Kluyveromyces lactis: one gene and its partners. The protein of the gene in region 2 purifies or fractionates together with the protein of the main gene of each other region. This does not show direct contact. Links are inferred from orthologs where the notes say so. Each region holds a gene or a part of one and is shown on either strand. Other genes may lie near its edges.

Region 1 (1,962 bases), about 730 kb from region 2:
ACATACTGACGTCTCAGCAGCCCCCTTCGGAGAGGCAGACATACGGTAATTAGTTTTGCAGATGTAGCACGCTGTGGAGGTGATGGTCTTGTAGTGTGTTCGTTTGTCCCTGGATCAATAACTTTTTGATCTAATGGATCAAAAGCTGAAAAGAAATCTAAGATTAATCTTCGAATCGAAAGTATAATAATAACAGAACACGCACAAAGAGCACGACACACCAAAAAAAAAAAAAAGTTAATAGAGAGATGTATTAGCAGCGGCTTTATACTATGATATTTTCTTGCCACGCACCGTTAGAGAGTACTATATAAGGGAAAAGAATTCCAAGCTGTTCCTCGTGGACGGAGTAAATTCCCTCAATATGAATGTTGAGATCGAAATATAGATACGAGGGTTCAATTAACTCAAGGAATGTTTTGATCGAGAGTGAATGCAGCCCTATCTTGTTAAAATCCGAAACGTTTGAAGCGAGTTGATATAAATAAATCGTGTCTCAATCTTGATTATATATATGTACAATCGGTCCTAACCAGTGCTAAATATGGAAGTCAATTAGATAGGGAAACGTAAACAGCACACCACGTCAATTATATTCTAGCTGAATTGATATAGCATATCTATCAGCTGCAGAGAGCCACTAAGGTAAATTAGTGCTGTCTCTCAACGGTTTCGAAATGTATATATGCATTGAAACAAAATCAGGAACCAGGTTTGAGAATGTTTGAACTATGTGGTGTGCAGGCGTGATTTGGAGTTCAGTTTCTTTGTTTCAAGGTCTTAGAGTTCGAAGATTTTGGCTAAAATTGGAGTCAAAGAATGCTGGTTGTTGTCGGAATGTATCCAGGAAGAACCTTTGACATTTGTTTCCAAGCTAGAGCAATATATTACTATAATCTGCGCTGTTCCCTTCCATTCATTTAATTAATTAATTTATTACTTACTGCATATCACTTAATTCACTTTACCACAGATCACGTGACTAGAACATTCTTTCCCTTTTACTTCAACGTGAACAATGAAAAGTGAACTTTGTTAATATAACGTTGAACTGATGGAGAATGATGAGAGTAGGTTCAGATGCAAGAACTACAGGCTTCTTCATATCTTTATTTCGACGCTACCAAATTTCAAAGGCATAGATTGTTAACACATCATGGAATCTAAGGCAACGGCTTCTGGCTCCTTTTTGGAGAACATCATTGGAAAACCAGTATACGTCAAGCTATTCTCAGGAATATTGTATCAAGGTAAGCTAGAATCAATTGATGGGTTTATGAACGTCACAATGTCACAAGTGTCGGAACATTATGAGGCAGAAGAGAACGGAACTTTGCATAAATATCCTTCTGAAGTATTTCTAAGGGGATCGCAGGTGTTATACATTAGCGAAAAATAGGCTTCGATTGGGCAATAAGATTGACTTCGACCAATGACTTTTGTAAGTCGATATTATAAAGTGTCCTATTTGCTCAGAAGCTCAATAACTACAATAATATGATAATACTAATAATAATTTATATACAAAAGTATATAATTGTATACTATAAAGATGGAACGTTATCAAAGCGGAAAGTGTTAAAAAATACTACGATGCACATATATAAAGCACCAAAGCATACATAAATTTAAATTCTGATTTTATTTTAAAATAATAAGAATATGTAGATATCTAATACAATAATAATATATATTAACCTTGTACCAGTGAGTTATACATTACTCTTTTCAAATTTTTATATCATGATTCTTAAAAGAGAAAATTTATTGTCATATCGTTAGAGAAAAGGAGATCAAAGAGGTTCCTTTCGTAGTTTCTTATTTATTCTGTGATAAAGAAAGCTTTCAGATCAAACAAACCGCGAACCTCATATCATGTTGTAGTTTTTTTTTGAGAATATATTAAAGAGAATAGAAGGTGGAACAAGTGAGGGCTGTACCATTCTTGTGGAACCTTTTAAC
Region 2 (3,089 bases):
GAATTATCACCAAGATTGCATAACATATGGTCCAATGGCATCATATCGATTATTCTTCAACTATTAAGTAAATTCGGATCTGGAATACTTTCGGAAGTGTGTCTATTTGTTTCATATTTCTCCAAACAAATAGATCTTGCTGTGGGGGGCTGGTCGTCTGACTCACTGTCCATAACTCAAGCATATATCCAGGAGACTTCCCAGATAATTCTTTTGCAGAAAATGCTAGATAAACTTGAATATCAGCGTTATTTGTCTGTTAATGGTTCCAAATTGAAGGTCATTGACGAAGAAGAGATAATAGAGTTGTTCCCTGGTTTAGACACTAGCTCTGAGAGAAACGATTTGGCAAATGTATTGAAACATTTGTTAACTCACCCAAAGTATATGAATTCTCGGATCATCGCGACAACCCCAGACAAACAAAAGATGATGGAAGATGAGGTCTATAGAAATCAGCTTCTACATTCTATCACCAAGCAAATCTCAGAACTTCAATCATCCTTGATGTCAGATTTATAAACAGGTAGGTTTATATAGTATTAATATTATTTAGATAGAAATAATTTTCTGAAGTCATCATTGCTCAACTTTTTGTCATTTTGTGACGCTTGCTGTGATTTAATTTCCTTTACAACAGCGTGCTTTGGTTGATTCAAGGTTGTTTTGTGTTCATTGGGATAATGAAGGGAAAGTTCATGAGCAGAAACACATTTCAAAATTCGGTTCTTGAACTTGTATCCATTGATTGCAAGTGAAACTTTTGCGGTAATTGCTTCTTTGTCCGCTATTATTAAAGCACCTTCATGATCAGAGACCAGCAAAACCTTCGTAATATCCGGAGGTCTAATTTGAGCTTTCTCCGTAATGAAAGCAAGAATTTGATCTGGGGTAATCTGATCAGACAATGGGTATATTCCGACAACTTTTGGGTTTTCTTTTCTGGAAGCAAGCAGACGCTTCACCTCTTGTCTTTCTAGATAAGCCTTTCTCATAACTTTTGAAACGTGTAATGGCTTACCGTTCATTACCGCTCCATTTAATGACAAAGCATTATCTGCACTCGCTTTGTTTTTGAATGTTATGAACGCATATCTGGAATGTCGTCCAGGGTTTGTTTCATCACCAGTTACTATTCTAGCTTTTTCTGTATCACCAAACTCATTGAACATCTTTATCAAATCATCGATGGTAATATCATCTGGAAGGTTCTTAACTATTATCTCTCTACCATCCGATATGGCATTGTCAGTCCTTTCAGTTCGTTCGTTGACATTCGATATTTTCGCTACTAATTTATAATTGTTGATCTCTATCCCATTGAGCCTATTTGTAGCTTTCTTTGCCACTTCTGGAGAAACTAAATCAACATATGCAAATCTTCTTCTTGAATTGAACGCTAAGGACGGCAATCTAATACTCAAAATTGGTGAATCAATGTACTGCGATAGTAAATTTCGAAGCTTGCTGGCATCATACCCAGGTGGAAAATTGGTGACCCAAATCGTAGAATCTGTTAGCTGTTCGACAGTTATCTGATGGAAGCCAATCTTTTTCAAAGTCCTGCTCACTGCTGTTAGGGCTTGATCATAGGAACTAAATTCAATCCTTGCCAATTTTGAATCCCCATCTGTTGAATCTGTAACATCTATTTGTAATATCGAACCACAAGTTTTGAAATATCTTCTAACCTTATGATGATTATAATTTGGAGGCAAGTTCTTAACTAAAACAGTGGTATATTCGCGGTTATGCGTATGTAAATTCTTAACTTTTTTCAAGGTAGCAGCCTCCTCTACAGAGACATTTTCGTCTTCTGGGCGTCTCTTATTGTTTTCTGCATTCATAAGTGTACCACGTGCGATTAGGTCAGTTCATAAAATCAACTGGTTCGACCTGCTACTAAGGTTGCATCAGCTCCTATCACGCAACCTTTAAATTGATTGATACTATTGCAGTTTAAAGCCTTTAAAAACTTTGAATATCAAACATATCACGTGATATCTTCATGGAAAGATGTTTTTCCTCAGACGAGCATGACAACCAGTATCCTGAACACAGAATATCTTCGGTGATCGCAAGCTTCAGGTTCTCTGAAAACTTTACAAAGTCTATTTTGGATGGTTATTGTCAATAGAATGCTAAGATGAAATGATATATAATTGATGGACAAGAGCTAGTAAAATTCTATATTCATTATGCGTGAAAGTTTTATATCTTGAGTTAATATAATACATTGATCGATGAAGAGACGGTGCGCTTACATTTCTGTCCATTTTCATTAGTAGTCATTATTTTGGTGGTAAAAGGTCTAAGCTTCGAAGTGATGGCAACTGCACTGGCTTATTCTGATTCAAACTGGGTAACAATCCTTCCGGTGGAGGACTGTGCGTTGGAGTGCACAGTAAACTTGAAAAATGACTTTGGAAATAGTAATCTTTTTCGTCCTTACTGTTCCTTACCGGCAGTTGATCCATCGATCTAAGCCTTGAATGAAGTTCATCATAAAATTCTCCTTCTGTAGCTGAGCCGGAACTTGGTGGCATTGTAGAACTAGGTCTCATGATGGGCATTATGGCTTTTGATTTCTTAAGTGGCCGGCCATATGCATCTTCTGTACTCATATCCTCATCTTGTGAGATTACGGTTTCTTGCTTCAGTAGAGTAGATATGCTTACAGTACTTGAATTTCTTGAATGTTGATCTATCAGTTGGTTGAGACTATTGGATGACGAGAATCTGGAGTTAAGTGCAGAGGAGCTGAAGCCCGATGGTGATTGCTGTTCCGACAGATTTGTCCACGATCTGGTTCTAGGCAGACCGTTACTTATATACTCGTTATCAACAAACTCGGTCAATGGTCGGTTGGGTGCGGGATGGTGAAGATGTACTAGATTCTGTTGCGAATGATTATATGACTCTGAATTTTGAGACAAGGGTGTCATTCTTTGTAATGATGATAAAGCAGAAAGCTTAGCACGTGAAGCTGGTCTTGGTAACAATAGTCCGCTACTGCTGTTGTTGATTGAATGAGATGTAAACGAAAGTGACGGAGAGGATGAAGATGAAGTCAACGGTAGTTTATCAAT
Region 3 (2,549 bases), about 1.1 Mb from region 2:
TTTTCTTTTAGCAGCAGATAAACCTAAGTGAAGTTCGCTTTGATGCGCTAATTGATTGGTCTTCAGTAAAGAGTAAGAATACTACAGAAAATATTATTCAAACAGATTTGCAGCAACAAGCGAAAAGAGAATTTGAAACGTTAAAAGAACAACTCTCACAAGAGATATATACTCACATATATATAAATGAACACCTGGACGCAGTCGGTTTAAAGAATTCAAGATATCTCTCTAATCAGTCGATGCGATGAGATACGGTTTTTTGGTCGAAATTTAACCAAAAAGCTTTGCTGATGTTAGAAAAAAGATTCAATAAGTCACGTGAACGCACATTTGTGCAGATTAGGTCTTGATAAGTGAGATGTAGCCGGTTAGGAAAGTATCTCCGTTGGAGATACTTATTTCATTAGATACAGGTAGAAATGTGGATATGGGCTCATAGTGTGAGTTTGATATAGCACTGAACGTTATATAGCACTATTAATGAACATATATGGTACACTGTTGCTTGAAATTTTTTTTTTTTGGGTCTTAACTAGGTATTGATGATCTCAGCACCTTCGAGGGAACATAGCGAAAGTAGAGCTGTTCCTCTTATGACGACCAAACCAATTTTTTTGGCTTGGTCCTTGTGGATGATGGTTTCATCTTCTGGGTCTCTTGCATATTCGACGGTTTCGTCAAGAACCAAGTTCATTAGCTCGTCATAACCCTTTAGGATTCCAGTGACCAGTCTTCCCCCTATGAACTTGACACGTACTTCTGTGTCCTTATATTGTGCAAGATTTATGATAGACTCACGCTTTGGGCCTTCGAACTTCTTCTTCTGCTCTTGTCTCGGTTGTTGTGATTGCCTCTGCAGAGAAGGGGAATGTATAAACTCTCTAACTGTTAGTAAATTTGAACTTAAAATGTAGAATGGATCATTGTTTTGAGAAAGTTGAAGAAGTTTTAGAAAGCCGTCCTAATTATAGTAGTTAACATACTGCTTCGCTCATTATTAGTAGTTGGTTGGGTGGGGTAGCGCTGTTTGCTCAATGGGTTATTGTCAAAGTGTGTTACTGGTTTCAAATTAACTTTTCATTTAAGTTTACGGAACATTGAAAAATTCGATGTTCAAACATGCCTGGACAAAACGACAAACATTGAACTTACAGCATCGAAGACAAAATAAAACAGAGGATATATCAGCACCGATAATGTCATCTGACGTGGAAATTATATCCGATTTGGTTAACACTCAGATCTTTGTGAAACCTGGTACATCATGGGACCATCTGGGCCAAAGATTGAACGAATTGACCGGTGTTGATGTTCAAGACATGAAATTGGTGATAAATGGCAATGCACAGAACAGCAAGTATTTGAAAGATCTCAAAGACCAGAAAGTAGAGAAAATCCAGTCCATAAAAGTGATAGACACCAACGAAAACAGTTTAGCAAGCCAATTGAAAAATGATTTGCTACATGCTAATAGCGATGACGTTTCGTTCCGATACACCATGGACGATTATGAGAACAGAAGGGATTCTGTATTACAATGGAAAAAAGATAACAAGTTAGGGAAATTTAATCCTGAATACCGCTCTAAGATGGAAGAACAACTACAACTGAATATCGATAAGGCAGAACTATTACAAAAACACGTTGGAGAAAGATGCAGAGTACTGTCCAACGAGGAAACAACGACCGATTCCACCAAGGTCCCCGAAAGAAGAGGATGGTTACGATACGTGGGAAAAGTTCAAGAGATCAGTAATACAGATGTATGGTGTGGAATTGAATTTGACGAACCTGACGGTAAGAACAATGGTACATTCCAAGGAACGAAGTATTTCGGACCAGTAAAAAAGAATTACGGCGGGTTTGTGAGACCTGCCGTTGTTGAAGTAGGTCCTCAATTCACGCCATTAGCTGACGATGAATTGATGCTCACAGATGATGAGTTATAGGGAGTTGATAATTTACATAAGTTTAATTATATTCTCGTCCTTGGCCTCGTGGATGATACTCTGAACTACGGAAATGACACCTGACACACACGTGACAGGGTCTACTACTGAATGAATTCGTAATTGGTTTGAGTCGGGTGTTGTGCCGTAGCTGGTAAAAAGGCCACGTTGCGACTTCGGTTCGAATCTTCCTCAGAACACAAAGTCTCTGTTCATATGAACCTGGTTACAAAAAGATCAAATATGGCAATTCATTTCCTGTTCTCAACTTCATACTAAGCCCTTGAAGCGCTTCAAAGAATATTCACTCTTAAGTATAAGGTGGATGCTCGTTACTTTGAAGTGTTTTGAGAAGAGGTCATGTGATTTGAATGTTCTACTTGATCAGAGGAGTTGTTCTCCTCATTCCAGGTGGGAAATTCGGTGGAACGCAGCTGTCCGCTCGCCGAGGGTTCAAACCCCCGGTGAGTTATAATCAAGCAAATCCCTAACGGGATTTTCGCTTCGTGAGAAGGTTGTTTCTAATGGAACTTCAGCTTGAGCCCTATTGTCGTTGTTATAATAAATCAAGTCGCCAGTTCTTCTCTAATGGAGACC
Region 4 (2,115 bases), on a different chromosome or scaffold from region 2:
ATGGCGGATGCAGACAAGATTATTAAACAGTCTGAGGCGCTTGATCAACTAGCCAAACTAGTGTTATCTCAGTCCCAAAAAAAGCAGTCGACTCTCCCGTCTTTAAAAGAGGAATACGAGAACAAACTGAAGAACGTTGATGAGCTCATCTCGATGATTACATCCGTTGAACTGGATAAAGAGAAGTTCTCAAAAATGATTTCGAAACAAATTGAGATTATTCAGAAAGACGGTCAAGAATATGCTCTAATTCCAGTACAAAGAACTCCTAAACAAGCCAAATTTGGAAAACGAAAGTCTAAAGCTAACAACATTAAATGTTCTTATTGCAATGAAACTGGACACCTCCGATCAAAATGTGAGAAGAAACTCTTGGGAGTTCCACCATGATAGGTAATGTGTTCTATTATTACATATGTGAATAGTGTGAGAGTGGTAGACTCGAATGATATTTAACAGTTATAAATTATTCCTTTCTGCAGCAGGAACCCTGTTTTTCGCTGCTTCTTTCGTTTACTTTCTTTCACTCATTAATTCTCTTCTGGTTGCATCTTGAAGTAGGTTGGTATCCACCATAGATTTCTTCAAATGTACATACCTCACAGTAGAACCTCTGATGAACATGTTCCTCACGCTTGATAGATGTGGATATTTTTCATTATTGTTGGACGAAATGTTGTCTAATTTTAAGTTCAAAAATTGGTCGACTGATTTTAGAGTACCTGTTAGTTCAATACCGTTCTTTAGTTCGACTTTGACTTCATGATCAACCAGGGTCTTGAAAAATGAAAATAATAGCATGGTTCTGGACAGTACGGCCTTGGTTCAGAGGTCCATGCATTTGACTTTTGAATGTGTTGTAGTTGTATTGTCAAATTTCAACATGAAATTGTTTTAAACAATTTCATGTTGAAGGAAAAAAAAAAGATACATGTACAAAATTGACATACACAACTTCATATGTAGAAGTAGAGAAGCTGCTGGACTTAAGAGGACTAGCTGGGATATTTTTACGTCGATTGCTGAAATAAAACTATTGCCAAAACATTCAAGCTAATATGTGGGGCTAGATAGTAAATAGACAAAAATAAAATGATAATGATAAAGATTGTAACGAAACAAGAAAGTAACGTAAAAGTACGTAGAAGTACGTGAAGGTACGATATTTTCAAAAGTTAGCATCACGGTTATCTCGTAGTTCTCACTTACTCCTCTGCAACATCTTCTCTCTTCTTTAAAACAAGGGGGTGACCAGTAATCCTAAAGTAGATATCCTTGACATCGTCGGTCATGGATTCGAAGTGAGATGAGGAATCGTAAGATTTAGAGATGTAAATGTTGTCTTTAGTGCCATCTTCGATCGGTTCAAAGATTTCTGAAATACCCATGAACCTCTCCTCAATTGGGCCCAACATTTTGAAAGCCGGCTCTAATTCGATATGAGGTTTATCAGTTTCAATGATGGTTGATACACTGGCGAGGTAATGACCCTTCGAAGTAACTTTATGGGCGTCAGAGACAGTAGCAATATAAATGTCGTTCTTTCTTCCAACTTGTGATTGTGGTATAATTATTTGGCAAGAATCAGCATTACTAGTGTTAGGAACAGGTTGTTTAGTGATGCAAATTGCTCTGATCACCTTTTCACCTGTAGTTTTACATTTCTCAGGGAAGTATGTTGGATCTGCGATGACTATTGGTGCTTTTGCAGTACCTTCTTTGGTGACAATACCTTCGAATTTACCATCGTCTGAGTATAAAACCTTTTCAATTGGGGTATTTAGCATGTATGTCCCACCGTAAATAGCTGATAATCTAGCAAATCCTTGAGGCAATTCGCCCAACCCATACATAGGGTAAATATATGGAGATTTACCAAACCTGGAAATCGATTGCACATATAGGATAATTCTTTCCACTGATGGTCTAGCAGGTTGTTGCAGATAATCGTCATTGGTCCAAAGGGCCATTGCGTGTCCAATAAATTCTCTGGTTGAATTTCCTAAGCCAAATTTGTAGTATACCTCATCCATAGTGTTTTGATCCAAGTTTAAGCCCTGATGTGTGGCGATATCTTCTTCATTGTATGCACTGATCCATTCCAAGAACTTCTTC

Evidence for each region.
Region 1: the proteins of PRP24 (region 2) and LSM6 purify together in Saccharomyces cerevisiae (affinity purification with mass spectrometry; 3 studies listed by BioGRID, with this or other methods). This does not show direct contact. The link is inferred for Kluyveromyces lactis from reciprocal best matches to the Saccharomyces cerevisiae genes PRP24 and LSM6.
Region 3: the proteins of PRP24 (region 2) and LSM7 purify together in Saccharomyces cerevisiae (affinity purification with mass spectrometry; 4 studies listed by BioGRID, with this or other methods). This does not show direct contact. The link is inferred for Kluyveromyces lactis from reciprocal best matches to the Saccharomyces cerevisiae genes PRP24 and LSM7.
Region 4: the proteins of PRP24 (region 2) and LSM2 purify together in Saccharomyces cerevisiae (affinity purification with mass spectrometry; 4 studies listed by BioGRID, with this or other methods). This does not show direct contact. The link is inferred for Kluyveromyces lactis from reciprocal best matches to the Saccharomyces cerevisiae genes PRP24 and LSM2.

What each region holds. Positions count from the first base shown.
Region 1 is NC_006041.1:232,597-234,558, reverse strand, and holds LSM6 (U4/U6-U5 snRNP complex subunit LSM6), read left to right. Parts: upstream 1-1,156; coding exon 1,157-1,399; downstream 1,400-1,962. Other genes in the region: GTPase-activating protein RGA2, read right to left, coding at 1-42. UniProt on the Saccharomyces cerevisiae protein: Component of LSm protein complexes, which are involved in RNA processing and may function in a chaperone-like manner. Component of the cytoplasmic LSM1-LSM7 complex which is involved in mRNA degradation by activating the decapping step.
Region 2 is NC_006041.1:967,432-970,520, reverse strand, and holds PRP24 (U6 snRNP complex subunit PRP24), read right to left. Parts: upstream 1,848-3,089; coding exon 549-1,847; downstream 1-548. Other genes in the region: NUP188 (Nup188p), read left to right, coding at 1-522; transcription factor MIG1, read right to left, coding at 2,292-3,089. UniProt on the Saccharomyces cerevisiae protein: Functions as a recycling factor of the spliceosome, a machinery that forms on each precursor-messenger RNA (pre-mRNA) and catalyzes the removal of introns.
Region 3 is NC_006041.1:2,036,730-2,039,278, reverse strand, and holds LSM7 (Sm-like protein LSM7), read right to left. Parts: upstream 999-2,549; coding exon 987-998; intron 857-986; coding exon 536-856; downstream 1-535. Other genes in the region: ALF1 (Alf1p), read left to right, coding at 1,200-1,952. UniProt on the Saccharomyces cerevisiae protein: Component of LSm protein complexes, which are involved in RNA processing and may function in a chaperone-like manner. Component of the cytoplasmic LSM1-LSM7 complex which is involved in mRNA degradation by activating the decapping step.
Region 4 is NC_006042.1:854,742-856,856, reverse strand, and holds LSM2 (Sm-like protein LSM2), read right to left. Parts: upstream 802-2,115; coding exon 514-801; downstream 1-513. Other genes in the region: KLLA0_F09229g (uncharacterized protein), read left to right, coding at 1-390; GDI1 (Gdi1p), read right to left, coding at 1,206-2,115. UniProt on the Saccharomyces cerevisiae protein: Component of LSm protein complexes, which are involved in RNA processing and may function in a chaperone-like manner. Component of the cytoplasmic LSM1-LSM7 complex which is involved in mRNA degradation by activating the decapping step.